Linked DNA regions of Canis lupus familiaris. The protein of the gene in region 6 interacts with the protein of the main gene of each other region in a biochemical or structural test. Links are inferred from orthologs where the notes say so. Each region holds a gene or a part of one and is shown on either strand. Other genes may lie near its edges. The genes, in order: F11R, PRKN, CNTNAP2, ATP2B4, SDC2, CASK and CASKIN1.

Region 1 (3,500 bases), on a different chromosome or scaffold from region 6:
TGAACCAGTAGAACTCAGAAGGGGGAGAGCCATCTTTCTCCGAGCAGGTCAGCACTGCCCGATTCCCGATGGTGGCAGAGGAGGGGATGTTGACCGTGGGCTTGGATGGAGGTACTGTGAAGGGACAGGAGGGGCCGAGCACAAGGTCAGGAGCGCTGCCTAGAGGCTACACTGCCGACACCCCCATCCATCAGCTCTGGCCTCCGTTCCTTACCATGCCCTCAGCTTCCCCCACCCCAGGGGCTCATTCATCCCCTCCCTCCTGGCACCGTGACTCTGAATTCCCCCCACCCGGGGGCATTCTCGCCATCGACGAGCTCCAAAGCTTTGCAGAGCCAGGAAGGGGTTAGGGACGCCACGAACTCCAAGACCATACAGAAAAAGGGTGGCACATACCAAGCACAATGAGCTTGACGGTGACCTCCCCATAGGTGTTGCCACCTTCATCAGAGACCATACAAGTATACATCCCCGTGTCCTTACGGGTCACGGAGTGGAAAGTGATGCCACTGTGCGAGAAGGTAACTCGGTCCTCATAGGAAGCTGGCAGGAAAGGAAGGAGGGGCTGGATGAGCTGGATGAGCTGGAGAGCGCAGAGAAGCTGGCGGTGGTGGCAGGAGAGGCGCCGGGACCTGGGCCCCAGGGGGCACCTCTCCCCAGGAATCCAGGCCCATCAACCCTCCACCACCGAGGCCGTCAGGAAGGAAGTGGGGGGAACTCACCCGTGATCTTGTTGTTATAGCAAACGAGGCTGGTGATGTCCCCCTGGGCAAACTTCCACTCCACGCGGGGAGAGGAGAAGCCAGAGTAGGAGCAGGACAACTTGGCGGCTGCAGAGGACACAAATGTCAACGGGAGGAAGGAGCAGCAGCAAACGGGAAAGGGGAAATTGGTCCCCAACTTCAGTCTGCGCTGGATGCAGTCCCCGGGGGCCTGCACCTGCTCCCGCCCGCCCCGGCCTCCCCCTTCCACAGCCGCCCGGACTCACGTTTGTTCTCAGCGACTCTGACTTCAGGTTCCGAAGTGTACACAGCACCCCTGCCCAACGCCAGGGAGCCTGAGGAGGAGGAGCCCATCAGAAGGGGGCTGCCCGTGAGCTGGGCCGCGCCCAAGGCTTCTCCCCGGTGAAGGGACCCGGGACACCCGAGCTCCTCTGGTCTCACACCCCCTCGCCGATGTCCTGAAGAGTTTCTGGGGACGCCCAGGCGGCTCAGCGGTTGAGCACCCGCCTTTGGCTCAGGACGTGACCCTGGGGTCCTGGGATCGAGTCCCGCATCGGGCTCCCTGCGAGGAGCCTGCTTCTCCCTCTGCCTGAGTCTCTGCCTCTCTCTGTCTCTCATGAATAAATACATAAAATCTTTTAAAAAAAGTTTCTTTAAATGCTTTTTGTCACCATTGCAGGCCAATACTTCCATTATCAATGACAACAAAACATTTCTTTCCAATGTAGTTCTTTCATCTTTTCAGTGTTTCCCTCTTCAACTCCCAATAATCTAATCCGAGTCCAAGAACAGCTCCCCAAATGACATTTCATGGTTCAGAGAAAGCTTCTCAACAAGTAATTAATTGCAACCACTTGTCAGGCACTCCTGGCAGGAAGCCAGCAAGGCTGGAGGCCAGAGAGGGAGGCTGGAGGCCACGAGGCAGGAGGGGAGGCAGGGGAAGAGCAGTAACGAGGATAATAATAACACTTGACATTTGTAGGGCGTTTTGTGCTTTCTAAAGTGTTTTCACGTCCATTATGTCGTTTGATCCCTGAAACAAGCGCGACAGATCAGCAGGACGAGTGTCATTATCCCAGTTTTACACGAGGAACCAAGTGCATGAGGAGTAAAGGCTCATGCCTAAGATCAGAGCCGTCCGAGATGGGGTCAGGACCCAATGGGGCTGGGTCCCCTCCCGAGGACGTCCCCCCTCCCCCTGCGGAGAAGGAGCCGGGGAGGCGGTGGGTGCTGGGGTGCAGAGGCGCCGGGGAGCTGCAAGGGAGCTGGCAGGAGGGGCCCACGCTCCAGGATGACCGGGACCCGGGGAGCCAGGCTCTGCCCCCACCTGCACTCGCACCATCATCACCCCCGTTCATGTTTTCCCAGCTCAAGTCCACCAAGCGAGCTTTCTCGCTGCTTCCAGGAGGCCCGTCTTCCTTGGGCAAACGCCTGCACGTCTGCTAAGCGCAAGCACGTCTTTAGGTAAGAACTCGCGGAGCTGGGCTCGGTCATGTGACCGCTAGGCCTCCCTTTTCTTTTCTTTCTATTTTTTTTTTTTTTAAGATTTTATTTATTTATTCATGAGAGACACAGGGAGAAGCAGGCTCCCTGCAGGGAACCTGATGTGGGACTCGATCCCTGGACCCCGGGGTGACTCCCTGAGCCCAAGGCAGACGCTGAGCCACCCAGGGGCCTGTAGGCCTCCCTTTTCTCACTTGAAACACGCAAGGTTTGAACTAGATGTTCTGTAAAGTCCTTTACGGTTTTTGTTGTTTTTGTTTTGGCCTCAATGTTTAAAGATACAGGGGCGCCCGGATGGCTCGGTCAGTTAAGCACCTGACAGGTTGTGACCTTGTGGGTTGACAGATGGAACCCCGAGCCAGGCTCCTCGCTCAGTGGGGACTCTGCTTCAGATTCTCTCTCTCTCTCTCTCTCACCCCTCCCCTCCCCATCTGTGCTCTTTCTCTCCAATAAATGAATCTTTAAAAAAAAAAAAAAAAGTTATTTGTATCAACTTGACACAACGTGGTAAATTAATGTAGATACGTATTCTTTCTCCCACTTTACATATGAGAAAATTAAATGTCTAAAAAGTTACAGGGCTGGCCCGTGTTTTCATAGCTACAAAATGGCAGAGCTCAGATTAGCACACAGGTTCCCTCACACTCTCTTTTTTCCTTTTTTATCTTTATTTTATTTTATTATTTTTATTTATTATTATTATTTTTTAAAGATTTTATTTATTTATTCATGATAGACACAGAGAGAGAGGCAGACACAGGCAGAAGCAGGCTCCATGCAGGGAGCCTGATATGGGACTCGATCCCAGGACTCCAGGATCACGCCCTGGACCAAAGGCAGATGGTCAGCCACTGAGCCACCCAGGTATCCCTATTTTTTTTTTTTAAGATTTTACGTATTAATTTTCTAAATTTATGTATGAGAAAGAGAGAGGCAGAGGGAAGCAGCAGAAGAAGAAGAACAAGCAGAATCCGACAAGCAGCTGGAAGCCTGATGCAGGGCTCAATCCCACAACCCTGAGATCATGACCTGAGCTGAAACCAAGAAACCAAAAGAGTCTGACCCTTAACTGACTGAGCCACCCAGGGCTTTTTAATAAGTCACACTGTTTCTCAGAAAAGCCATGACTTAATGGGGGCAGACTATGTAATAAATGTCATTCTTTTAAAGGTCAGGTCCATTTATCTGTGAATCATTCCTAATAGTATTACGGTGTATCTATATATTTGGCATTATATTTTAACGCCAAGTTTATAACCAAACGTAGTAACAGAT
Region 2 (3,935 bases), on a different chromosome or scaffold from region 6:
GATACCCTGATGTCCTACTCCATACTTCTCAAAGTCATAATTAATTAAACTATGTTTCTATGACTGTCTGGGCCAGGCATTTAACGTATCAGTCATAATTCAAGTGAGAAATATAAGTACTTTTGAGGCAGTCTCTGTACCAAGAAGGAATCCTAGGTTTTAAGAACAAAAAAGGAAGGTTAATTCTACTCGTAGTGGGGTAACAATCAATCCCCTTTACTCCTATTGTTGTTTTTCCTCAAAAGTAAGCCAAGATTTTTGTAAAATGGAAGAGTACTATTTGCATTAAAGAGGGTGTAGCAATTAAAGAGAGCACAAGCATAAAACAGGCAAGTTCTGAGTAGCACAATGTCTTTAACAGGAAAAAAAAAAACAAACCCAGATATATACTGAGGTATATTTTTATCTCCAGCCTATTACTAGGTATAAACAATAATGCCTTTCCTGGCTCTGAGGTTTATTCACAAACAGGAAACCCATCACTTTTTAATTGCCTCCACTTTCACCTACCTTTCCTTTTTAATTGCCTCCACTTTCACCTACCTTTCCACACACTCTCTTCACCAATACAAGTCCAAAATTGGCAATTAAGATTTTTATCAAAAAGTGCCCACCAATAGAATTAGGCATTGCAATTACTTGTATAAAATAATGTACTGCACATTGTCCACATGGTTTTTATATGTAAAGTACCTTTCTTGGGATGGGGCATGTTGTACTTATGTTGTAATACACATTTATTTGCACTATGTAAAACAACAACTGGAGTATAAGAAAAAACACCTTTTAAAATCTACCTTATATTCTCCATGTAATTACAAGTTACTAATAACTGTCTAATCATCAAATCCAAAGATCATACTCTTCTGTCTTATGTCCCTAAGTCCCAAATAAACTAAATTCCCTAAACATAGTTCATCCTACCAAAGTTCTTTTTTTTTAAAGTTCTTATATAGTCATTTATCAGATAACAATTTAGAATTGTGATTTTTAGATCTTAAGTCCCTATCTTTATATAGCTTTGCTATAAACTTGCTTCTTTTAAGAGCATGCATGCACTAAATTAAGTTGAATTAAAATAAAATTTTATAATTGTCTTCAAATAAAACATAATTTTTTCTGTAAAATGCTGACATCATGGATTTTTAAAAATTTCTTCTATTAGTTTTTCTGATTCCACTCAGAGCCGTTTATAGTGGATTATATGTAAAAGTTGGGTTCAAAAGATTCATAAAGTTTATATAAAACATTCATTTATAAGAAAAATGTCTTCATTGGATGACTTTCAAAAGTCATTCACCAAAAGTCATACCGTGCTAGAAAGGTGAGAAAAATTGGACAACATCCCTAGGTTTTATCATTGCTGCAAAGACAGCATCAGTTAATCACTGGCATGATTCTCCCTCTGGGTAGAATGTTTTACGCTTTAACATTAATTTTCCTAAATAAAAGACTTAAGACTCTATCAGTGCATACAAACTTACGTATTTTAAAAATCCACTTCTCATCTTTCTGGACTGACCATTTCTGACTTCAGATGCACTCGATGCAATCAAAATTGTTTTTTAAGTGGTACTCATCAGGAATAATCTCCAAATAGGGTCACCAAATCTTCCATACACAATCTAAAGTAAGTCTCTGTCATAATAAACGCCCCAAATAACACTGGTTTCTAATCATACTGTGTATTTCCACTCATTTCAAAGATTACCGCGAAGAGGAGGAGGAGGGGGGGGAGGAGGAGGGGGGAGGAGGAGGGGGAGAGGGAAGAGGAGGAGGAGGAGGAAGAGGAGGAGGACGGCGAGGAGGACGGGGAGGACGGGGAGGACGGGGAGGGGGAGGAAACTTTTGTCACAGTGTTTATAAACAATTACCACAAACCATTTCCAAAGCTTTCATCATAAATATGCACCCAGGTCATTTTGTGTCAACTAATAATTCATTATGCCAATATTTAATCCTTGTTATTCTTTACTCTAGATTCTTTCATCTCAGACCTACAAGGAGAGATTTACAAGGAAAAATCGAGGGAGCGAGAGGTTTAAGTTCCTCTGCAGGAATGTCTCTGAATCCTAACCATCCCGGCAGGTGCCTTCCGCTAGAGCTGAAAGCTTCGGTATAGGGTTTCCCCGGAAAGAGTCCTACAGGCGGCGGGTCCCATCCGTCCCTAGCCGGGAGGCAGCCCCCGAGGGGCGGGGCCGGAGGTGCACGTGAGGGGCCTGCGAACCGACCCCCGAGTCCGGCGGGGCGGGGCGGGGCGGGGCGGGGCGCGGCGCGGCGCTCGCCGTGGGAACGCGCGCCGCAGCCTCCACCTCGGGAGGCGCAGGCGCGCACGCCGGGGTCCCCGGGGAAGCTGTCCGAGCACGGGCTGGGCGGGGGCTGAGCTCACACACACGTATTCCCCCGGCCCACGGCGGGCACCGGGAAGCGCGCAGCGCGGGCCGAGGGCCGGCGGACACGGCCGTCCCGACACTGACAGTTGACACCGGCCGACACCCTGGGGGCGGGGGCGTCCCTGTCCGCCGAGGCCCGGCGAGGAGGCGCAGAGAGGCTGTACCTGGCAGGTACTCACGTACCTATCATGGTCACTAGGCAGGTGGAGGCTGCTGGGCACGCAGGGGGCTACGCCCGCACCGGCGCCCGCCCGCGCCTCCCACAAATGTGGCTCCGGGGTTAAATCTTCCAGCACCTGCCTCCCTGGGGCCGGCTGTCGGAATGCGCACGCGCGGACGACGCGCAGCCAGGGGCCTTCTGGGAGTCGTAGTTTGACAGCGTAGTTTCTCCCATCGCGCCGCCCCCTCCCCGCCCGCCGTCGGCCTGCCGTGGGCCTTCCGCCCGCCGCCGCCCGCCTTCCGCCCGCCGCCTTCCGCCGCCTCTCCGCATTCAGGCCCAGCAAGCGTGCTACGTCACGGGGGGACTGGGCCACGGGGCCGCAGTGTTGACGCGTCGCTTAGCAACCGGGAGGCTTACCTTTGGAAGCTTCTTAGGGCTCTCGCCACGGTCCTTCCCTCCTCCCGCCCCTCCCCTCCGTCAACTCCCCTCACCTAGGAGCTGCCAAACATCTGGATCAACCTGGGCACTACGAGGGGTTGAATTTCTACCAGTAACGCGCCTTTTTACATTTTTTCCCCCCCGAACTCCTTCTCACATGCGTAAAACCCACTGATTCTTTTACTACACGTTTTATGAGAACGAGACATTTTCTAGGAAGATGGTGGCAGAAAAAGAGACCCTGAGCTTAAACAAATGCCCAGACAAGATGCCGAAGAGGACCAAGCTGCTGGCGCAACAGCCGCTCCCGGTGCACCAGCCTCACTCCCTGGTTTCTGAGGGCTTCACAGTCAAAGCCATGATGAAAAACTCAGTCGTAAGTGACCCTGCATTGAATATGCACTCGCTCCGATCAGGGGACAGCAGGCGATAGCTGCTGGCCGGCCTGGGATGGATCCTGAATCCGTGTCCTGGGGGGTCTGCGGCACCGAGGGGGGCGCCTCTGCAGACGGCGCCCAGCAGGGTGAGGAGGTCCTGGCTGGGGTGTCAGGAAGGATCCTGGGCACGTGAGGCACTCTTACCCACTGACAAGCACCTTCCTCCTAACTCATGGTTTCTAGACCACGCCAAGGTACTCTTAAAACTATTGACACGATTTTTTTTTTTAAAGAGCCTCTTTACGTATCGATTCCTAATCGAGCCCCACTCAGCAAAGGTCATTCTAGAAGGCGAGTTCTTAGAGATCATAAGCTCTTGCAGAATTTGACATGTGCTGATGTACACCTGGAACCATAAACTCGTTAAATCGTCTACAGTTAGGAACTCTCATCAGTTCAAACGAAGGAATTTTAGAGCATCCCTGCGTTGACCCTAACAAGCCTCTTTCTTACAAAATAATATCAGCTTGTTAGAGTTCGGATAGGCAATGTAACAGGAAGGTCTAT
Region 3 (4,045 bases), on a different chromosome or scaffold from region 6:
AGCGTCTTTCCAGTATGTTCAAATAAGTGCAACTCCCTAAGAGAAAAATATACTCTTTACATATGCGTCCTGTATCTGCACATTTGCAAGAAGAGAGGTGGTATGATTCCATCAGCTCAGCAGCAGCTCATCTGCACTGTCAAGCAATTAGATTCTATTTCTCCTTAATCCTAGAAATGAGCTTTTTAAATTTATTTTAGTCCAGCTATAGAAAACATAGTATTAGCAGTAACACCATTTTTATATGTATTTCAATAATAGAGAAAAAGAAATAAGCCAGAAGCAAATATATATTTAAAATGGTACTGTTGCCAAATGAAAAATATTAACTGCATTTTCTAGAAACGTCCATCATGTTAAAAAGTTATCAAGGGACAGAAAGTTTTAGCACTGTCATATTTTTAAAAATGAGTAGCAAATAAAAACATTACGTTTGGATTTTCATGCTACTTTTTGTCTTGTGATGACCTCTCCTGGTTGAGTTGTTCATTATCTTAGATTCATGTAGTTACCGATTTTTTTCTCCTTTGAGCGTTTTCAGTATTAAGAATATAACTCTCCCTCTTTCTCAGAGTTGTATAAATATAAATACAAATTGTCATTAAGTGTCAAATTATAATTTAAAGTACTGAATTTGTGAAGCTCACTCTAGTCAACAAAGTCCACATCATTCTTATCATTTAATTGATTTCCAGGATGCGGGGCAACTTTGGGTTTTAGTCAGACAATTTAAATTCAAAGGAAACAAAAAGTCATCTCAATTAAGCCATTTTACATATTTAAACAATAAAGAATAAGAGCAAGAGCTAATAAATACATCTTAATCAGACATAAGTGTCAACTACCTTAAAAGTAATACTCTCTGCTCTTCCCCAACATCTAATTCTAACTAAGTTGTAAAAGCTAGGAATATATCTCGGCAACAACTTTTCTATTCTTAAAAAACATTAACCCCGTGGCTGCATGTGTGCCATTCATTCTTGATACATGGCAAATGTTTCAGAGGGATCCATCACATTAATGTATACATAAAGATGCAATATAAAACTCAGGAAAAATCCTGGATATGAGAGCCATTAATCAGTGAATATAATTAATTTATAATCGATTTAATTTCTGAAAAAAAGCGGCAGTTAGTTCTATATGACCAGATCTTGAAATGGAAATCGAAATTTCATCAGATTACTTTTCTCCGGATGTAGTCACATATTTACATAATATTAATACTGAGCACTGTCTTCAAAATTTGTTTAAATATATAAAACCGGAATACATATGTTAATAATGTATCACTTATTTGAGGTTCAGTCCGTTTGTGAAAAAGCTACAAAAATGTTTTTCAAGTCCATTACACACTGCCACTTAGTGACTTCCTATACTGCAAGAAAAGAGAAGCAAATACAATACTTGGGAAAACATGTCAAAACTGCAATAGCGGTTCATCACATGACATTATTGTGGGGTAGATTCTTTAGCACAACTTATCAAGTCCTTTTTCAACGGTTATTCTTATTAATATGTATACCCCGGAACAAGAACATTAATATTAATGTATAGATAAAGATGCATCAATGCATCCCAAGACCTCATCAGCGGAGATAGGACCACACATACAATGAATTCTGGAAAACACTAAACTTTTTTTTTTTTCTAAATGGAAAACACTTCAAACTAAAATCTCCATCGTTATTCTTTAATAAGTAGCTCATTCTCACAGACCAGCACTATGTGCCTGAGATTCCCACGGGCAAGCTCTCTAGGGTTTAACTCTTTCTGAATCAAAGGAGCGATCATGCGTCTCCTCTCTAGATGCACAGGATGCACTTCTGAAGCAACTCAGAAGATGGGCTGGAATCTTCTATTCCTTTCTACTCTTGCTAACCGCATGAAAACATGAGCAACCTTTTCTTTAAAAAGAAAAGGGGGGGGGGGGAGCCTGCTGGAACACAAAGACTTGAATATATTGAACAGCATCCTTTCCCCGAGAACTCTTTAGGGATGCCTTCATGACTACATCCATTCCCCACGGCCTGTTTGCCCTGCCTGCCCCGAGTCCTAGGCTGTGTCACCCCCAAAGTGCCAAAAATCAAAGCAATTTCAGCCAGCACGCTGCATTCACTGTCTTCCCCTTCCAAGAAGCAAGTACTAAGTGGTCATTAACTTTTTGGGGGTGGGCGGGTAAGGGAAGTCCGCGGTGCCCCAACTGCTCCAAATGGTCTCCTCTTGCACCCCCACCCCCGCAACCCGTGCGTCTTGAAGTCAAAACCATATGCAAAAACAAGAAACTTTTTTTTTTTTTTTTTTTTTGCCCCAGCCTTCACTTTCTTGCAGCGACCTACCCGAGCCCAAAGCCCCGAACTCCCTCCAACAACAAACACCCCGAAGTGGAGGAGTAACTCCTAAGAAGCTGTCGCCCGGCCTCGTCACTCCAACCAAGCAGTTGCCAACCCCCCCTTGCACGGCCGGGGACAACTTTCCAGAAGCATCAGCAGCCTCCAGAGCCCTCGCGCCACCGCCCCCCCCCCCCATCCATCCATCCCCGCCCTGCAAGCCCCCCAGCGCCCCGGGGCGCCCCGGGCTTCGGAGCTCCCTGCGGCAGCGGCTGCGAGACGCCGGCGCACGCAGGTGGCGGGCCCGGGAGGACCCCGACGCGGCCCCGGGCGGGCTGGGCGCTCGCGGAGGCTACTTACGGGACGCGGCCGGGGCGGTCCAGGCTCTGCAGAGGATGCTGCCGACGATCCAGAGCGGCAGCGCCGCCCCGCAGCCGGCTCGCGGGCCCGCCGGCATCCTCGGCGGCCGGCGCGCGGCACTCGGGGAGCTCGCTGGGCTCGCTGCGGAGGCGCCGGCCGTGCCCCCGGGGGCTGCTCCGGGCGCTGCTCCGGGGCGGGGCGGGCGACGGCAGGGCCCCTCCCGCGGCGTCCTCTTCCCCCCGCGCCCCTGCAGGCTCCAGCTCGGCCCGGGCCGGGAGCCCGGGGAGGCGCAGGCTGCCTCTTGCCTCCGCGCGGCTGCTGCCTCTCGCTCCGGGAGCCAGTGAAATGCCAGGGGGAAGAAATTCAAACCGCGAAGGGAAGGGAGGGGGAGCGGAGGAGGGGACCTACCCCGCCCTCCCTCCCTCTCTCTCTTGCAGGAGAGAAAAAAATAAAAAATAAAAAATCAGCATAGGACGCGGAGGCAGAGCAGAGGAGCTGGGGATGATGCAGCGGCGCAGGGCGGGCGGGCGGGTCTGAGGGGCTTCCCGGCGCCCCGGGCTCGCGCTCGGCACTCGGCGCTCGGGAGCCGGTGCGCGGGGGGCACGCAGCCCCGCGGGCGGGAGGGGGGAGGCGCAGGGAGGAGGGACGGAGGGCGCACGCTCGGCCTCAGCGCGGCGGCATCGCCCCGGCGCCCGGGCAGCGCAGCAGCGGCCGGAGACGGAGCTGCACACCGAGCTGCAGACGGATCTGCAGACGGAGCTGGAGAGCGAGCTGCACACCGAGCTGCACACCGAGCTGCACACCGAATTGCACACCGAGCTGCAGACGGAGCTGGAGACCGAGCTGCACACCGAGCTGCACACCGAGCTGCAGACAGAGCTGCAGACCGAGCTGGAGACGCCGCCGCCAGCAGCGCCTGCACAGCCGGGCGGCGGGCGAGGCGGGGAAGCCCTCCCTCCTCGCCCCCTCCAAGTCCCCACCCCGGCTCCTCCTCCTCCTCCCCCTCCTCCTCCTCCTCGCCGTACCCCTCCGGCTGTCACCACCCCTCTGCCCTGCGCTCGCGAGCGGGAGCCAGAAGGCACCCACGGGCCCGCGTCCGTGCGCCGGGGCGGGGGGGGGGGGGGCGCCGAGCCAGGGGGCGCGCGCCTTGCCCCGGGCGGGGGGCGGTGCTGAAGTTGGGAATTTGCGGGGTGATCTTGGAGCCCGGCTCCAACCCCGGCCGCCCTCTCCTCACCCCCACCCCCACCCAGCTGCGGGGAAACCGAACCCCTGGGCTCGGAGGCCTGCTCTTTCCCTCCTCCCCTCCCCTGCAGAGGGAGATGGTACAGGCTCCCGGAGCTCGGCCTGCCCCCCGG
Region 4 (3,500 bases), on a different chromosome or scaffold from region 6:
TTGCGGATAAGTCGGTTGAATTCTTTGCCTTCTAAGCACAGGAAGTCATCCCCAGGTGTCACAATGCCACATTTGGTGGCAATGGCCCGGGCTGTATTGATGTTGTCACCTGTCACCATTCTGACAGTAATGCCAGCTCGTTTGCATTTGGCAATAGCTTCAGGTACCTATGGAGAGTAAGGTGAGAGGAAAGGAGGAGGTGGGGGTGGTGAAGGGTCCCTTCATTGTGGACAGGAGAGAGGCACTTAGGAGCAGTGCCATGTGGCAGAGGCTAGGTCTGGTCATTTTTATATTGTTTGGTGCCACCCGACTTCTGCCCTATTCATAATACTACATTTGAACTTGCCTTACTGTAGCATGAGTTGAAGAGAAAATCTGCTTGAGGAGCCAGGTGTGGAAGTGTACTCTCCCTACAATCTAGACTTCTTAGCAGGGCACATCCATACCTCATTGGGATCTGGCCACCATCTCCCTTTTTAGCATTCTCCACTTCCCTGGCCCATACTCCAACCAATCCATTCTTTATAGTCTCCTATGCCCTTGGGCCTTGACAACTAAAAGTCCACTAGTCTGAACTTATTATAAGCAGAGACCTTTTCAACGCCTTAGTTTCTAGATTACTGTTCAGCTATTCTAGGGGCAGTCAATAAGAATATGTTGATTGAAAGAAGGTGGCTAGAGGCAAAGTTGGTGTCCCAGTTAACTCTGACTGTTCTTAGGTACCCAATAATAAGCTCAATACAACCTATGTTTCTCACCCCTCAGACAGCATTCACTGTCAGAATGCCAGCTTCTATCAGCTCAGCACTCCACAGTGGTTTGGGAAGCAGAAGGCACAGAAACATCTATCCCTGTACATGAGAAGCTGTTGGGTAACGTGCCTGGGGTCACAGCTAAACATGGAACTAGTACCTCCGTTCCCTTCTATGGGGGGACTACCCCCTACATCATGCTCGGCTGGCATGTGGGCCAGAGGCTGTTGGAAGACTTCCATTCATGTTCTCCTACCCTTTTGCCAAGCCAAAGCCTCACCTCTGGGCGCACAGGGTCCTCAATGCCCACCACTGCGATACACGTCAGTTCAGTGAGGATTTCACTCTCATTGTCCCATGGGGGCTCGCCATCATTGAAATCCCGGTAAGCGATGCAGAGAGTTCGGAGTCCCTGAGAGGCCATGGGCTCGATGACAGTGCGGACCATCTCATCGCGGTCCTTATTCTTGAATGGAACCACTTCCCCTCTCTTGTCCAGGATTCGATTACACCTGGGGAGGCACACAGTCAGGAAGCAGCAACCCTTTCCCACCCCAGATGTCTCTACACTCATTTGCAGACATTCTGGCAATCCTGCATTACTCGTAAAGACAGCATTCTTGGGTAAGAAATCTCTGTTCATCATCCAGCCGAGTCCCTTTTCCCAAGGTGGGGTGATTTGTAGATGGATCAGGTCTAGGGAAGCCAAAGGTATGATTCTCCCATGTTGTCTGTTCCTACTCATATGTGAATGTGATGCCAAGAGTCATTTGTGGATTACCCCCTCTTTTGAACTTCTCAAAGGTGGAGAGACATTTTAAATTCCAGGTACGTGAATAGTACTAGAATGGTGCTCAGTGCATAGGGTGTGCTCCACAGGAATGGGTTGGTTGAAAGACGGTGGCTAAAGCCAAATAAAGGCCTGGTTAATTCTATAGCTACTGGCCCTGTACCTATGTCGGTCAGCCTATAATGACCCATGAACAGTCTAGCTACTTGATGAAGTTACTCAACTTCCTATAAGTGGAGTTGAGCATGAGAAGGAAAAAGGAACATAGAACTAACATTTGTTAGTACTTGCTATGTGCCTGGTATTTTACATACAGGCAAACCTTGTTTAATGACACTTTGCTTTATTGCACTTTGCAGGCATTGTTTGTTTATTTATTTATTTATTAACAAATTGAAGGTTTGTGGCGACCCTGAATCGAACGCTAATGACACCAATTTTCTAAAAGCATTTGCTCACTTCATGTCTCTGTGCCACCTTTTGGTAAGTTTTGCAATATTTTAAACTTTTTCATTATTATTGTATTTGTTACGGTGATCTGTGATGCTACTATTGTAATTGTCTGGGGACATTGCGAGTCACATGCATATAAGATGGCAAACTTAATTGATAATGTCATATGTGTTCTGACTGCTCCACTGCCTGGCTCTTTCCCGTTCTCTCCTCCTCTCCCCAGGCCTCCCCTCCCCTGAGAGACAACACTACTGGAGTTATGCCATTAATGCCCCTGCAATAGCCTCTAAGTGCTCAAGTGAAAGGAAGAGTCTCACATGTCTCACTTTAAACCAAAAGCTAGTAATGATTAAGCTTGGTGATGAAGGTGAGTCAAAAGCCAAGAGAGGCTGAAAGCTAGGCCTCTTTGCTCCCAATAGCCAAGCTCTGAATGCAAAGGAAACGTTCTTGAAGGAAATGAAAAGCATTTCTCCCATAAAACCAAACAGCCTTATTGCTGAATGGAGCAAGTTCGAGTGCTCTGGATAGAAGATGAAACCAGCCACAACATTCCCTTCAGCCAAAGCCTAATCCAGAGCAGGTCCCTAACTCTCCACAATCCTAGGAAGGCTGGGGGAGATGAAGACTCTGCAGAAAAAGTTTGAAACAGCAGAGACTGTGTCGTGAGGTTTAAGGAAAGAAGCTGTCTCTATGACATCAGAGTGTAAGGTGGAGCAGCAGGTGCTGATGTAGAAGCTATAGCAAGTGATTCAGAAGGTCTGGCTGGGATCATTAATGAACGTGGCTACACTAAATAACAGATTTTCAGTGTAGATCAAACAGCCTCATACTGGAAGAAGATGGCATCCAGGACTTTGACAGCTGGAGAGAAGTCAGTGCCCGGCTTCAGAGTTCCACAGGAAAGGCTGACTTGCTTGTTAGGGGCTCATGTAGCTGGTGACTTTAAATGGAAGCCAATGCTCATTTATCATTCTGAAAATCCCAGGGCCCTTTAGAATCATGTTGAATCTACTCTGTCTGTGCTCTATAAATGGAACAAGAAAGTCTGGATGACAGCACATCTGTTTATAATATGATTTACTGAATATTTTAAGCCCACCACTGAGAGCTACTGCTCAGAAAAAAGATTCCTTTCAAAATATGACTGCTCGCTGACAATGCACCTGATCACCCAAGAGCTTTGATGGAGCTGTCCAATGAGATTCACATTGTTTTCATGCCTGCTAACACAGCACTCATTCTGCAGCATATGAATCAGGGCGTTAAGACTTCTTATTTAAGAAATACATTTTGGTAAGGCTATAGCTGCCAGAGATAGAGATTCCTCCGATGGATCTGGGCAAAGTCAATTGGAAACCTTCTGGAAAGGACTCACCAGCCTAAATGCCATAAAGAACGTTCATGATTTATGGGAAGGGGCCAAAATAGCAACACTAATAGCAGTTTGGAAGAAGTTGATTCCAACCCTCATGGATGACTCTGACCCTCACCGTTCAGGACTTCAG
Region 5 (4,231 bases), on a different chromosome or scaffold from region 6:
GAAGCATGTATTTCCTGAATGGAAGTAATTAATCTGAAATATTTTGTGATGGAAACTGTTTTTCAATTCGGTGTCTATGGCACGCATCCTACAGAACACCGCAAATACGTTCTTCCGCCTGTTAGAATCTTTTCCTCTCTGGCTTCCGGAATAAGTCAAATGTGCAACTATTCTGCTCCTAAAATGCCCATTCCAGGAGACCAGGGACCTTTCTGTCTTTTCTACCACTGTATTCTCATTCCTGGTACATAAAGACACACAATAAATATTTATTAGATAAGTTTTGGTCTAAAACTCAGTCTATAGTGCATGAGAGTTGTGAAACTGTGAGAAACATAGATATAGATAGATAGATACTAGGCCATGGTAATTTTTGAACTTAGAATAAAATAGAGCCTACTCTGAGAATCACAGTGTCTCAGTGGCCGTTCACTGCAATAAATCTCAAAGAAAGAAATTTAGAGAACTGGGAAGTTACAGCTCAAAGTCAGAGGCATCAGCTCTTCCATGCTGAGTGCCATCCGCCAAGCTCCCCACGGGCAAGTCGAACGTGCTGATAGTCCAAGAGGAAATGTGGAGAAGCAGAAAAGTGGGCAAAGGAGAAAGAGAGAGAGGAAGTCAGGAGAACTGGAAGTTGTATCATCGGACGCTCCTAATTCCACAGAAACTGGGCTGGCAACTGTGGGTCAGCGTGGGTCTACCTTGGTTTTTGGAAGGATGAACTACAGCCTTATTTTTAAGATGGATTCTTTGTGGCTTAAAGAATTGCATGAGATGGAGGAGAGAGGGACTTCGAAAAGGAGTTTCCAAAGGAAAATGAACAGTGTGAGAGAAATGCAAAGAGCCTCAACTGTTGCCTCTACCGCCAAGAGAGCTAGTCTGCTTTTCAGGCCTGGGGCAAGGCTGCACCTCCTTTCTCCCCAACGGTTAGAAACATCAAATAGATCAGAACCCCAGTGAAAGGGGGAAACGCACTCACCTGCTGGCTCTCCAGGTTACTGCTGTCTGTTGGGGCATCTCCCTAAGGAGGACCATGGTGGCCGCTCCCTGCCTCAGCGTGGGCAGACAGCGATCAAAGGAAATAAGCCCGTGCATCTGTTCAAGGAACATGCACCCCCAAAGCTCTTGGTGCATATGAGCCTCTTGAGGTTTATGCAACATTGAGAGTACGGATAATAAGGGGATGGTGCCATTTTGAGAGTCACATAATATCAGGTATTTGATAACAAAGAAATATTCAAATCTTGTGTCCAAATGCATTTGAGAGTCAGAAGGTGTGACCAGAAGGATAATCTGGACGTATAAAAGACGCAGATGGTAAAAGCACGTACGCAAGACGGGGTTACTAAAGACCTGCCTATGCTGGGGGCGGGGGGTAGAGGAGGGTGGTAAGGGACAAGGATGTCTGCTGCTGTTAGGGACATTTCTAAAGTCGTAAATGAGGAAGGTCTGTGTCTTTGGGTTGCTCTAAGGAAAATATCATAGACTGGCTTCTGAACAAGAAAAATTCATTTCTCACAGTTCCGGAAGCTGAGAAGTCCCAGATCAAGGCACTGGCATATTTGGTGAGAGCGGGCTTCTTGGTTCCTGGAGGGCTCTCTTTGCTGTGTCCTCACAGGGTGAGGGAGGGGGTGACCGCGTCCTCTGGAGCCCCTTTGATAAGAACCCCAGTGCCATCCATGAGGCCTCTACTCTACTGGCCTAACCACCTTCCAAAGGCCCCACTACCCGACACCATCACCTTGGAGATTAGGATTTCAACCTATGTATAGGAGGGAGTCTGGGGAGGGGGATCCAGAGGCACAAACATTCCGTCTACAGCAGCCTGTTGCTGTGTTTTGCTAACTGCAACTTTTTTTGACTGAATAAAACTCTATGGAGTTGTGTGGCGCATGTATATCTCACACACGGAAAGCAGGAAGCGATTAAAGGCAAGGGTTCCCCCCAGTGTGCTTTCAGGTCCTCCGTTCGAGGGCTGTGCTTTAGGGGGCACCACAGGTAAAATGGCAAAATCAATCATTGCCCAACCGCTCACTGATTGCTGAAAGAATAAACAACCTACCTCAGGAATCTCAGAAGAAGATAGAGAAGAGGAACAGAATATAGAGACAGAGATCAGAGAGCAGGCGTGTAAGAAGGGGGGGCGGTGAATTAAAAGGCACAGAACACCCGAGAAAAACAGAGACGACAGGTACTAGAGACATATTTTTAACCTAAGCCGACACCCTGGACCTTGTCACCAGGGTCCTTAGTGACGTCGCATGATCGCCGGGACTAGCAGGTGCTGTGGCCCGAGGTGAGCTGTCAGAGAGGGAACCGCAGGGGGACAAAGATGCCGCCTCGGTGTTTCCGACTGGCCTTCACTTGGCATTCCCTGGAATGGTACCAGCGGTTCAGGCTAGAAATCTATTTAGTCGGATCAGCCCTGACTAAATTCACTTGAAAGATGATAGAACCTGGGAATACGAGGAAATCCAGCCAGCCAACTCTCAATTACCCACGCTCCTCAGGGCCAGTGCGCGGAGCCGTGACCAAAATCTACAGGCAAGCCCAGCCCAACAACAGCTAACACCTAGTTTTAGCCTCCGTCTTTTGACCTTTCTCTCCATTCACCTCCATCGCTCCTTTGTCGGGGAAGTTGGCTAATTGTTAGATGAAGAGCCGCTCGTCCTCAAGTCGCACGTCGGTGATTAAGGTTCCGTGTCAAATGTCATCCTAAAGTCAGAAATGGAGATTTTAAGGAAACCGTTGTTTGCAGGCTACCTCGTTTGGGGGCATCAAACATCGACCTACGAGCCATCCTCGGGTACATGAGCATAGGAAGGGTCCACAAAGGTATCTTCAAGGTGCTGGCACCGCCTTTGTGCAGGTCCCGTGGGACGGGGAGACACAGTCCGGGCCGACGTTAGGGACGACGGTGCTACCGCTGTGACTGCCACCCCGACGCCCTGCCCTTGGTGCCACAGTCCCTCACCTGCTCCGGCAGTTACGCGGACCAGGTCGTGCGGGGGGCGAGGCGATTTATTAGTGCCCACCACTTAGATGCACCCTTCCGATCGTCTCAGCCGAGGAGCTCGGGGTCGAACCCAGCTGCGCGTTTGGATGACTCCCAGTCACCCCAGACTGCCGAGGGTCCTCGTGTGTCCTCGACGATGGATGTACAAGGGCAAGGACAAGCAGGTAAACACACAGGTAGACATAGGGGACACGTGTTGCCCGCATAGTGGAGGGTCCTGACTTTTCTTTTTTCTTTCTATTCTTTTTTCTGGCTCTTGTGAGACCCAAATCAAACTTATTCCTTTAGGATCTTGAGATAGTTTAGTGTCCTTAGGGTAAAATTTTTATTTTTCCTTAGGTGGTATAAGAGGGCTTCTGTTCCTGGTCAACAAACGATCCCAGACAAAGACAGAGATGAAGACGAGGCAGCTTTGACTGTGACTGTCTTCACTCTGAGTACAGTGACATCCTCACCCTCCAGGGCTTTATAAGGCATACGTAGGTAAAGGACGCTCTTAAATCAAGACCAACCACTCTAAAAATTACTTTTAAAAATTATTTAGATTTGTGAGGGAAAAGATCTATTAAAAAATAATGTTTTGATTCTTGAATTACCTTTCCATGCTCAGTAGAGCTGGGTATCTTAAAACCTCTCAAAGAAGAATAGAACATACTGATATTTCTCTGCATAAAATAGCATTAATACTGGCATCACCTACAGGTTAATGCAGGGAATTATTTCATTGAACATTATCCTAAAGCATCTAGAAGGCAAAGTGCACACATGTCCAGGTGTGAACACGTTTCTAGACTCTTTCAGGTAGTGCAATGAGAAACGGGTGAGGTGGTCGTGCGTGGGAGGGCTGTTGAGTTCCCCAAGGGGCGAGGAGACGGACGCACCCTCGCACCTGCTGTGGGGGGAGGCGGTGTCCGTGCTCTGCAGGTGGCCACGCGGCTGGGTCACACACCGGCTGGGCTTTGGGTGCCAGTCCCGCCCGTCGCCGTGTTCTGAGAGGCCTTGCCCCTGAGCGGGCCGCCAAGTCCAAGCCTCCATGTCCTCACTGTGACTGGAGGTGAGTGAGTCAACGGGTGGAGTCCACGCGCAGTGATGCCCGCATGTCACCCAGGCAGGCTCGACGTCTGCACCTGTTGTCTCAGGGAGCACCTTGGCCTTGAGGTGCGTCCTCTGCCTGGAGTGGCCGGCCTGTCCATGCAGCATGAGCTCGGGGTGTCC
Region 6 (3,500 bases):
ATCTGTGACTCAGGGCCAGCTGTGATTATGGGGCCCCTGGTCCGTCAAGAACTACAGTCCCTCACAGGAAAATAAAGACATTTCTCCTTTCAAAAAAAAAAAAAGAAGAAATAAAAAAGAAAAAAAAGAAAAAGAAAAACTTTCTTTCTTTCTTCTTTCTTTCTTTCTTTCTTTCTTTCTTTCTTTCTTTCTTTCTTTCTTTCTTTCTTTCTTTCTTTCTTTTAAAAAAAAACAATTTTCTTAAAGTTTGGACTGCAAAGCAGTGCCAGATGGAAGGCTGCCTGCCACTTCCTCTATCCGGGTCTATGAGTCTCCGCATTAAATGATGGCATCTGAAGTTCTTATCAGCTCTGACAATCTAAACGTAAGAACGTTTTTGGAAACAAAGGATAGCTAACAGAGGCAATCACGCAAAGGAAATTCACTGAGAAATCCCTTTAGTGAGAAAAACCATTATCAACCATTATCAACATTGGTGGACTCGGAGCCTCTGGCGTCTGTTAGCTAGGTTCCAGTATTTGGGGATAGACTGCCCCAATGTCTAATGGTTGCTGTTTTGGGTTGTGTGAAACAACCTCAGATAGAGTCATCTCCTTGCTAGATCTCTCACACATTGCCAAAGTACCAGCCACAGCAAAATCACCAGCATCTTTCAAAACAGAGTTCAAGTAAGTGAATTGTAACAACAGCATTTGGATTTCACCAAAATAGATAGTAATATATAGTAATTTGGGACTCCTTTTCTCACAGTTCAAAATGGTGTTGAAAAGCTATCTGACTTTAACCTGTTTTCACTGCTTAAACTTTCCAACAAAGTAAGTGTTTTTAAAGGCTTGGCAAGGTAAAGAATGAAGCTTCTGGCTGCTCTTTTTTTTTTCCCAAAGGCAAAACCCATTTTTACCTTCAAATATCCTGAGTGACCCTGAATCATGGCCTTTGAGCTTTTGCCTGCTGGGGTGGGGGTGGGGGGTAGAATGAGAATGGGGAGACCATGCTAACGGGTAAGGAGAGGGTTTGTTTTAAAACCAAACCAAACAGGGGCATCTGGGTGGCTCTGTCAGTTAAGCATCTGCCTTCAGTTCAGGTCCTGATCCCAGGATGCTGGGATTGAGCCCTGCATTGGGCTCCCTGCTCACCTGCTCAGTGGGGAGTCTGCTTCTCCCTCTCCCTCTGCTACTCCCACTGCTTTATCTCAAATAAATAAATAAAATCTGTAAACAACAAAACAACAAAACAAAACAAAACATGGTTCTAAAAGGATTGAAGCAGCATGTGGGAGTGGGGGGCTCTAAGGCAGCATGAGGTGACTGGGACCATGACTTGAGGCTAGCCGCTCAACCTCTCTCTCTCTTGACTTTCCTCTCCCCTTCTATGTAAAACCAAGACTTGACTCTAAGCAGGAATTTACTAGATGTTGAGGATTTAGAGTTCTTGGATGACTAATCTGAACTTTAGCTAGTGGAGGCAAATAGGTTTTACACAACAGAATAGAAGGTTGTCAAAAAGGATGGTCAGGGCTTTGTTTTTATTGTCAAGCAAAATGGAAGGAATAACAACATACCATTCCTGGAGCTCAGGAGAAGGAATGAGACCTGCGGTTCCATTTTTGGAGTTTTCCAGTTTACCCTGCCACCAGTTGTGATCATCCTTACTAATAATCTGGATAATGTCGCCAACTCTGAATCGAATGCCAGCTTCTTTGCAGGGGATGAGGTCATCCTTGGCCGGATCATATTCAAATTGTGCTCTTACATAGATCTATAAAACAGGAGTTTGTAAGAAGGGCTGCCTCGGCGATGTGAAAGCAAACAGCTCTAACCTAATAACCACACACCAACACTTACAATACAAACAGGACATTAGATGGTGAAGCCAAATGACGCATGGAGATAGGACACAGAATTGCTACCACTAGAAATGATGGGATACCTTTGATGTGTATAGATTCATACCTTTGCTGTTTTTATTTGGAGGGAACACTTAACAATTCTTGTTTAATAAAGATCAAGACTTAGCTTCTGCTTTTACTGTAACAGAATAGGTCTCTAATCATAGAGACGCACGCTTACCATTTTTAAATCTGCATATATTTAGCTGATGTTATGGGCAAGTTGTCATGATCATGTGGCAGCTTTGTCACCATATACACAAACATTCAGGGAAAGTTTTAACCCTGAAGCAGCATGTGGTACAAAAGTAGCAAGCACTCTGTGTTGGCATCTTGCTTTAGTTAAAATGCCTACATGACAACTGGCAGCATGTCTACACACTGTCGATAAACTTAAATGTAATTTAAACAGTTTTTAAAGCATTTAAAAAATCATGTTATTAGGTATGTAAGAAGGATTTAGGTTTTGTATTTGTATTTTACTCTTCTTAAAGAAAAAGGACATTGAATCCAAGCTTTGCCACTTGAAAGCAGCACAGAGCTTCAAGATATGCAGAATTCAAAGCTCTGAGTTTCAGGATATGTCAATGTAATTAGTAGATATTATAAAAGGAAACAGATTAGTCTACAAGGGGTTATCATATGGCAGCATTTTAAGAAATGCTAGATATCTAATGCTGCATCACTTATGCGGTCTTAAAAATAAACTACAGGGTGAATTCTCTCAGATGCCAATTTGTGCACACCTTAAGGCCAAATTGGATTATTTCTGGACACCAAATTCCAAGAAAATTCCCATAAAATTCTATCTCTTGAAATTATATTTGAATATTAATGTTTCAGTCACTGTAAAACCAACCTGAAGGCTTTGGAACTATTGTGTGATTATTCTGTTCAAGTTTTCTTATCAGAAATCCAGCCTATAAAATTAACATGTCTCTGCCTTTGCACCTGAAATCCATACTCTTAAAGTGCTGGCAAACTGGAAGCTGCTTGCTTGTGGCAGGCAGCACTTCACTTTCCCCATGTGACCCAAAAGAGGCATATTGGGATGGAAAGCCAGGATGTTCCGAGTTTTCATTGTAAATGGCTTTTAGATTTACACATGCAAAAACAAATTAGGAAAAAGCCTTGAGATTTTAGAAAATTACTGCTTAAACATGTTCATCAGCACGTAGATTTTAGTTATTCTTAGAATTCTAGGAATTTTGTTACCTTTAACAATTTTTTTCCCCAACTTCAGAGGCAGGCCTGTAAGACCCCCTTAAAGGCTGAATTCTTAACCATCAACACAAGTTTATCAGGTTGAAATTACAATAACCATCACAGCTACAAAGATGTAAAGAAAAAAATCCTTATAGAAAATTAGTCACGTGTAATGTGTTAAAATGAAATGGTACAAGCTCTCAATGCTTAAATGTTATGGTCCAAAATGCAGACATTATGGGATGGAAAGGGTTAATAAAGGATTGGCTATTAGCAGCTCAGTTTAGAGAAGTTTCTATAGAGGGTATCTATTCACCTGTCGTCCTTTTGGTTGGGTAGTTGATGGCAAGTCCTGTAGAATAAAGCCAACCCAGGAGAAAAATTTTCATTTACTTTTCAAGAGTAC
Region 7 (3,500 bases), on a different chromosome or scaffold from region 6:
TTAGGGTGGCCTAATGGCCGTTGGGGTCAGCCCTGTGGGGTCAGCCCCGTGGGGGTCACTTCCACAGATGCTGGGCCAGGGGCTGACACCGCAGTTGGGAGGCGGGGCCTGGGAATGCCCGTCCACTGGGGAGGAGCGTGGCTGCCACCCGCTGCCACCGCCGCCTTCCTTCCAGACTCCTCCTCCAGGCTGGCATTGACATTAACCGCCAGACCAAGTCCGGCACAGCCCTGCACGAAGCCGCGCTCTGTGGGAAGACGGAAGTGGTCCGGCTCCTGCTGGACGTGAGTCAGGGGCCGTGGGAGCTGGGGCGGGGGCGCGGAGCAGGGGGTCTCCTGACAGGCCACACCGTCTGGCACCTACAGAACGGGATTAATGCCCATGTGAGGAACACCTACAGCCAGACGGCCCTGGACATCGTGCACCAGTTCACCACGTCCCAGGCCAGCAAGGAGATCAAGCAACTGCTGCGAGGTGGGCCAGGGGGCGGGGCGGGGAGGCCGGGGAAGGCGTGGGGGCTGGGGGGTCTGGGCCCGGCGGCTGGCAGGACTGGGGGGGTCTCCCTCCTGTGTCCCCAGAGGCCTCGGCGGCTCTGCAGGTCCGGGCGACCAAGGATTACTGCAACAATTACGACCTGACCAGCCTCAACGTGAAAGCTGGGGACATCATCACGGTAAGGCCAGCCTGGGGAGGGCAGGGGGATGGGGGGGCCCAGGTGCTCACCCCGCAGCCCCCCATGTGGCTACTGGGAAGCCCGGGGGTCTGGACGGGAGGCCCGGGTCACACACACACACACACACACACACACACACACCCTCCCCAACCTGGAGGGGCGTCTCCCTGAGCTCGCCCCGACGCCTCGGGCCAGGTCCTGGAGCAGCACCCCGACGGCCGCTGGAAGGGCTGTATCCACGACAACCGGACCGGCCACGACCGTGTGGGCTACTTCCCGTCCTCCCTGGGCGAGGCCATTGTGAAGCGAGCAGGCAAGTCCCCCCCCACCCCACGGGCCTCGGCTTGGGCGCCAGAAGGAAGCACGTGGCCATGTGTGGTGGGTGGCAGGGCCATTGCTGGGCGTGGGGTCCAGAGTGGGCTCCTGCCGGCCGGCTCGTCAGCCTCCCCACACCTATTCCTTCAATTATTCAATAGACGTCATGCATCAGCCGCTAGGAATCGATGGTGACCCAAGAATGATGGACCTCATTCTTGCTCTCAAGCTCACCCCTAGGGACAGTGGGGAGAATGGCAGTGAAGTAAATACAAAAATGTGCCAACTAATGCTAAAGAGAATGTGCACAGAGGCCTGCTTTTTACTTATTTTTATTAGTTTTAGGAGTAAAATGCAGTGATTCATCAGGTGTACAGAGGCCTGCCTTCTAGACAGGGTGGTCAGAAAAAGCACTGGGGCAGGGAGGCTGGCCCGGACAGAGCATCCAGTCAGCGGGAACCACATGTGCAAAGGCCCTGGGGCAGAACAGGGCATACGATGTCAAGGGCCTGAAGAAGACCCACACAGCACAGCTGGCACAGTGTGAGGAGCAGGAAAGGCGTGCGGCCGGGCCACAGGGGGGTTGGTGAGATGGGTTACCTCCTAGAGATGACGTGGACGTCGACAGGTGAGGGGAGGGGACAGAGGGAGCCCGTCAGGAGGCATGGGAAGCCCACCCAGGGTCATCTAGGCTTCTGGGGGCCTCTCCCCTGGCAGAAAGGAGGTGCACCTCCTGCCCTCCCCATGCCCCACCCAGGACCACAGTGTCGCCACGGTGTCCTGCTCTCACGTGCAGAGGGCGGGGAGGGGTCTTCTGAGGCTCTTGCCACTGCCTGGAGACAGCCGGGGCCAGAGGAGGCTGCAGCGTCAACGTGAGGGGCCCCTGCTCTGTCCAGGCTCTGGGGCCAGGCCAAGGATGCCCCCTCGCCACGTGGGGGCCCCAGGCCTGGCCAGCCCGGGGTTCAGGGCAGCCGTGCTGTCCCACAGGTTCTCGAGCAGGCGCCGAAGAAAGCCCACCCCAGGCGGGCAGCTCCTCGGGGCCCTCCGCGCCCCCCGAGGAGATCTGGGTGCTGAGGAAGCCTTTTGCAGGTAGGTTTTGACCTCTGGAGGTCAGGGCGGCAGTGCTTCTATGAGGGAGCACCCCGCGCGGGGAGAGCCAGCAGCGGCTCAGGGTGCTCCCTGTGTTGGCAGGCGGGGACCGCAGCGGCAGTCTGAGTGGTGCGGCGGGTGCAAGAAGCGGCGGGGGCCATGCCCTGCACGCAGGCTCCGAAGGGGTCAAGGTAGGTGGTCTGGGGAGCAGGGCCGGGGTGGCTGGGCGCCGAGCAGCGCCGGCCAGCGTGCCTGTCTGGGTTGTAGCTCCTGGCAACGGTGCTCTCACAGAAGTCGGTCTCCGAGTCCAGCCTCGGGGACAGCCCTGTCAAGCCTCCAGAGGGCTCCACAGGTAAGGGCAAGGCTGCCACAGCCCTGGTCTGGCGGGGAGCGCCCCCCTCCCAAGCACCCCTGCCCCAGCACACCGTCTGTCTCCAGGTGCGGCCCGGTCCCAGCCTCCAGCGGCCCACGCGGGGCAGGTGTACGGGGAGCAGCCGCCCCGGAAGCTGGAGCCGGCCTCGGAGGGCAAGGTACCGGGCCGCGCTGGCCGCGGGGAGGGGCTCCCGGGCAGCCTGCTTGGGGCGCGGGCAGCGGGGGGCCCTGACAGGCCAGGCCATACTTCTGTCCGTTTGTCAGTCTGTGCGTGTAGGTGTTGTCTCTTGTGTGGGTTGTGCGTGTGAGCTGGTGCGAACGGCAAGTGTGACGTGGGCGTGAGGTGAGCAGGGGACGTGCCTGTGTGTGGGCGGTGACTGCGAGCCGGGCACGTGCGCGCGTGTGCTGTGCGTAGGAGGCGTGCGTGTGAGGCCAGGCCGGCCACGTGTGGGGCTGAGAGGGGCCCGTTGTGGGCACGGCGCGGGCGGCTGGCTGCTTCTCCTGCGCACCTCTGGACGGAGCCCACCTGCCCCGGCTGGGGGGCGGGGGCTGCTCCGTGCGGCGCAGCAGAGGCCACGTTCCCGAGCCCCTGGTGCAGGTGTCCCCGGTGAGGGAACAGGGGGGCTGGTCAGGGGAGCCTGTGACACAGCCGACAGCAGCTGGACCCTTCCGGCGGAGACCACAGGAGGCGGTCGCAGCGCCGACGGAGCTCGCCACGCCGGCAGTGGGGACCGCAGAGCGAGGAGGCACACGGGGGCCAGGCTGTCCCAGGCCCGGCCGCGGGGGCACCAGCAGATGGCAGACCGAGCAGCTGAGCGGAGGAGGAGCCGGCATAGCGGCCCGGGTGCACGGCTGGCAGGCCAGCGGGCAGGCGAGCCTGCAGCGGGTCCCTTGTGTCTTCCAGAGCGCCGAGGCCGTGAGCCAGTGGCTTGCCACGTTCCAGCTGCAGCTCTACGCCTCCAACTTCATCAGCGCCGGCTACGACCTGCCCACCATCAGCCGCATGACCCCGGAGGTGAGCTGCCCGGAGGCTGGCGGCCCGCGGTGGCCG

The links.
Region 1: the proteins of CASK (region 6) and F11R form a complex in vitro, tested with the Homo sapiens proteins (2 studies listed by BioGRID and IntAct, with this or other methods). The link is inferred for Canis lupus familiaris from reciprocal best matches to the Homo sapiens genes CASK and F11R.
Region 2: the proteins of CASK (region 6) and PRKN form a complex in vitro, tested with the Homo sapiens proteins (2 studies listed by BioGRID and IntAct, with this or other methods). The link is inferred for Canis lupus familiaris from reciprocal best matches to the Homo sapiens genes CASK and PRKN.
Region 3: the proteins of CASK (region 6) and CNTNAP2 form a complex in vitro, tested with the Homo sapiens proteins (2 studies listed by BioGRID and IntAct, with this or other methods). The link is inferred for Canis lupus familiaris from reciprocal best matches to the Homo sapiens genes CASK and CNTNAP2.
Region 4: the proteins of CASK (region 6) and ATP2B4 form a complex in vitro, tested with the Homo sapiens proteins (2 studies listed by BioGRID and IntAct, with this or other methods). The link is inferred for Canis lupus familiaris from reciprocal best matches to the Homo sapiens genes CASK and ATP2B4.
Region 5: the proteins of CASK (region 6) and SDC2 form a complex in vitro, tested with the Homo sapiens proteins (2 studies listed by BioGRID and IntAct, with this or other methods). The link is inferred for Canis lupus familiaris from reciprocal best matches to the Homo sapiens genes CASK and SDC2.
Region 7: the proteins of CASK (region 6) and CASKIN1 interact in a biophysical measurement, tested with the Homo sapiens proteins (2 studies listed by IntAct, with this or other methods). The link is inferred for Canis lupus familiaris from reciprocal best matches to the Homo sapiens genes CASK and CASKIN1.

Annotation. Positions count from the first base shown.
Region 1 is NC_049259.1:22,278,259-22,281,758, reverse strand, and holds part of F11R (junctional adhesion molecule A), read right to left. Parts: intron 1,058-3,500; coding exon 989-1,057; intron 831-988; coding exon 723-830; intron 544-722; coding exon 397-543; intron 115-396; coding exon 1-114. UniProt on the Homo sapiens protein: Seems to play a role in epithelial tight junction formation. Appears early in primordial forms of cell junctions and recruits PARD3.
Region 2 is NC_049222.1:51,748,775-51,752,709, forward strand, and holds the start of PRKN (E3 ubiquitin-protein ligase parkin), read right to left. Parts: upstream 2,801-3,935; 5' UTR 2,584-2,800; coding exon 2,577-2,583; intron 1-2,576. Other genes in the region: PACRG (parkin coregulated gene protein), read left to right, coding at 3,212-3,367. UniProt on the Homo sapiens protein: Functions within a multiprotein E3 ubiquitin ligase complex, catalyzing the covalent attachment of ubiquitin moieties onto substrate proteins. Substrates include SYT11 and VDAC1.
Region 3 is NC_049237.1:3,928,193-3,932,237, forward strand, and holds the start of CNTNAP2 (contactin-associated protein-like 2), read right to left. Parts: upstream 2,801-4,045; 5' UTR 2,788-2,800; coding exon 2,691-2,787; intron 1-2,690. UniProt on the Homo sapiens protein: Required for gap junction formation. Required, with CNTNAP1, for radial and longitudinal organization of myelinated axons.
Region 4 is NC_049259.1:987,639-991,138, reverse strand, and holds part of ATP2B4 (plasma membrane calcium-transporting ATPase 4), read right to left. Parts: intron 1,265-3,500; coding exon 1,033-1,264; intron 168-1,032; coding exon 1-167. UniProt on the Homo sapiens protein: Calcium/calmodulin-regulated and magnesium-dependent enzyme that catalyzes the hydrolysis of ATP coupled with the transport of calcium out of the cell. By regulating sperm cell calcium homeostasis, may play a role in sperm motility.
Region 5 is NC_049250.1:41,599,317-41,603,547, reverse strand, and holds the start of SDC2 (syndecan-2), read right to left. Parts: upstream 2,801-4,231; coding exon 2,764-2,800; intron 1-2,763. UniProt on the Homo sapiens protein: Cell surface proteoglycan which regulates dendritic arbor morphogenesis.
Region 6 is NC_049260.1:36,111,905-36,115,404, forward strand, and holds part of CASK (peripheral plasma membrane protein CASK), read right to left. Parts: intron 3,447-3,500; coding exon 3,411-3,446; intron 1,759-3,410; coding exon 1,562-1,758; intron 1-1,561. UniProt on the Homo sapiens protein: Multidomain scaffolding Mg(2+)-independent protein kinase that catalyzes the phosphotransfer from ATP to proteins such as NRXN1, and plays a role in synaptic transmembrane protein anchoring and ion channel trafficking.
Region 7 is NC_049227.1:39,222,516-39,226,015, forward strand, and holds part of CASKIN1 (caskin-1), read left to right. Parts: intron 1-175; coding exon 176-284; intron 285-365; coding exon 366-474; intron 475-578; coding exon 579-673; intron 674-868; coding exon 869-986; intron 987-1,975; coding exon 1,976-2,077; intron 2,078-2,179; coding exon 2,180-2,268; intron 2,269-2,344; coding exon 2,345-2,429; intron 2,430-2,515; coding exon 2,516-2,607; intron 2,608-3,353; coding exon 3,354-3,464; intron 3,465-3,500.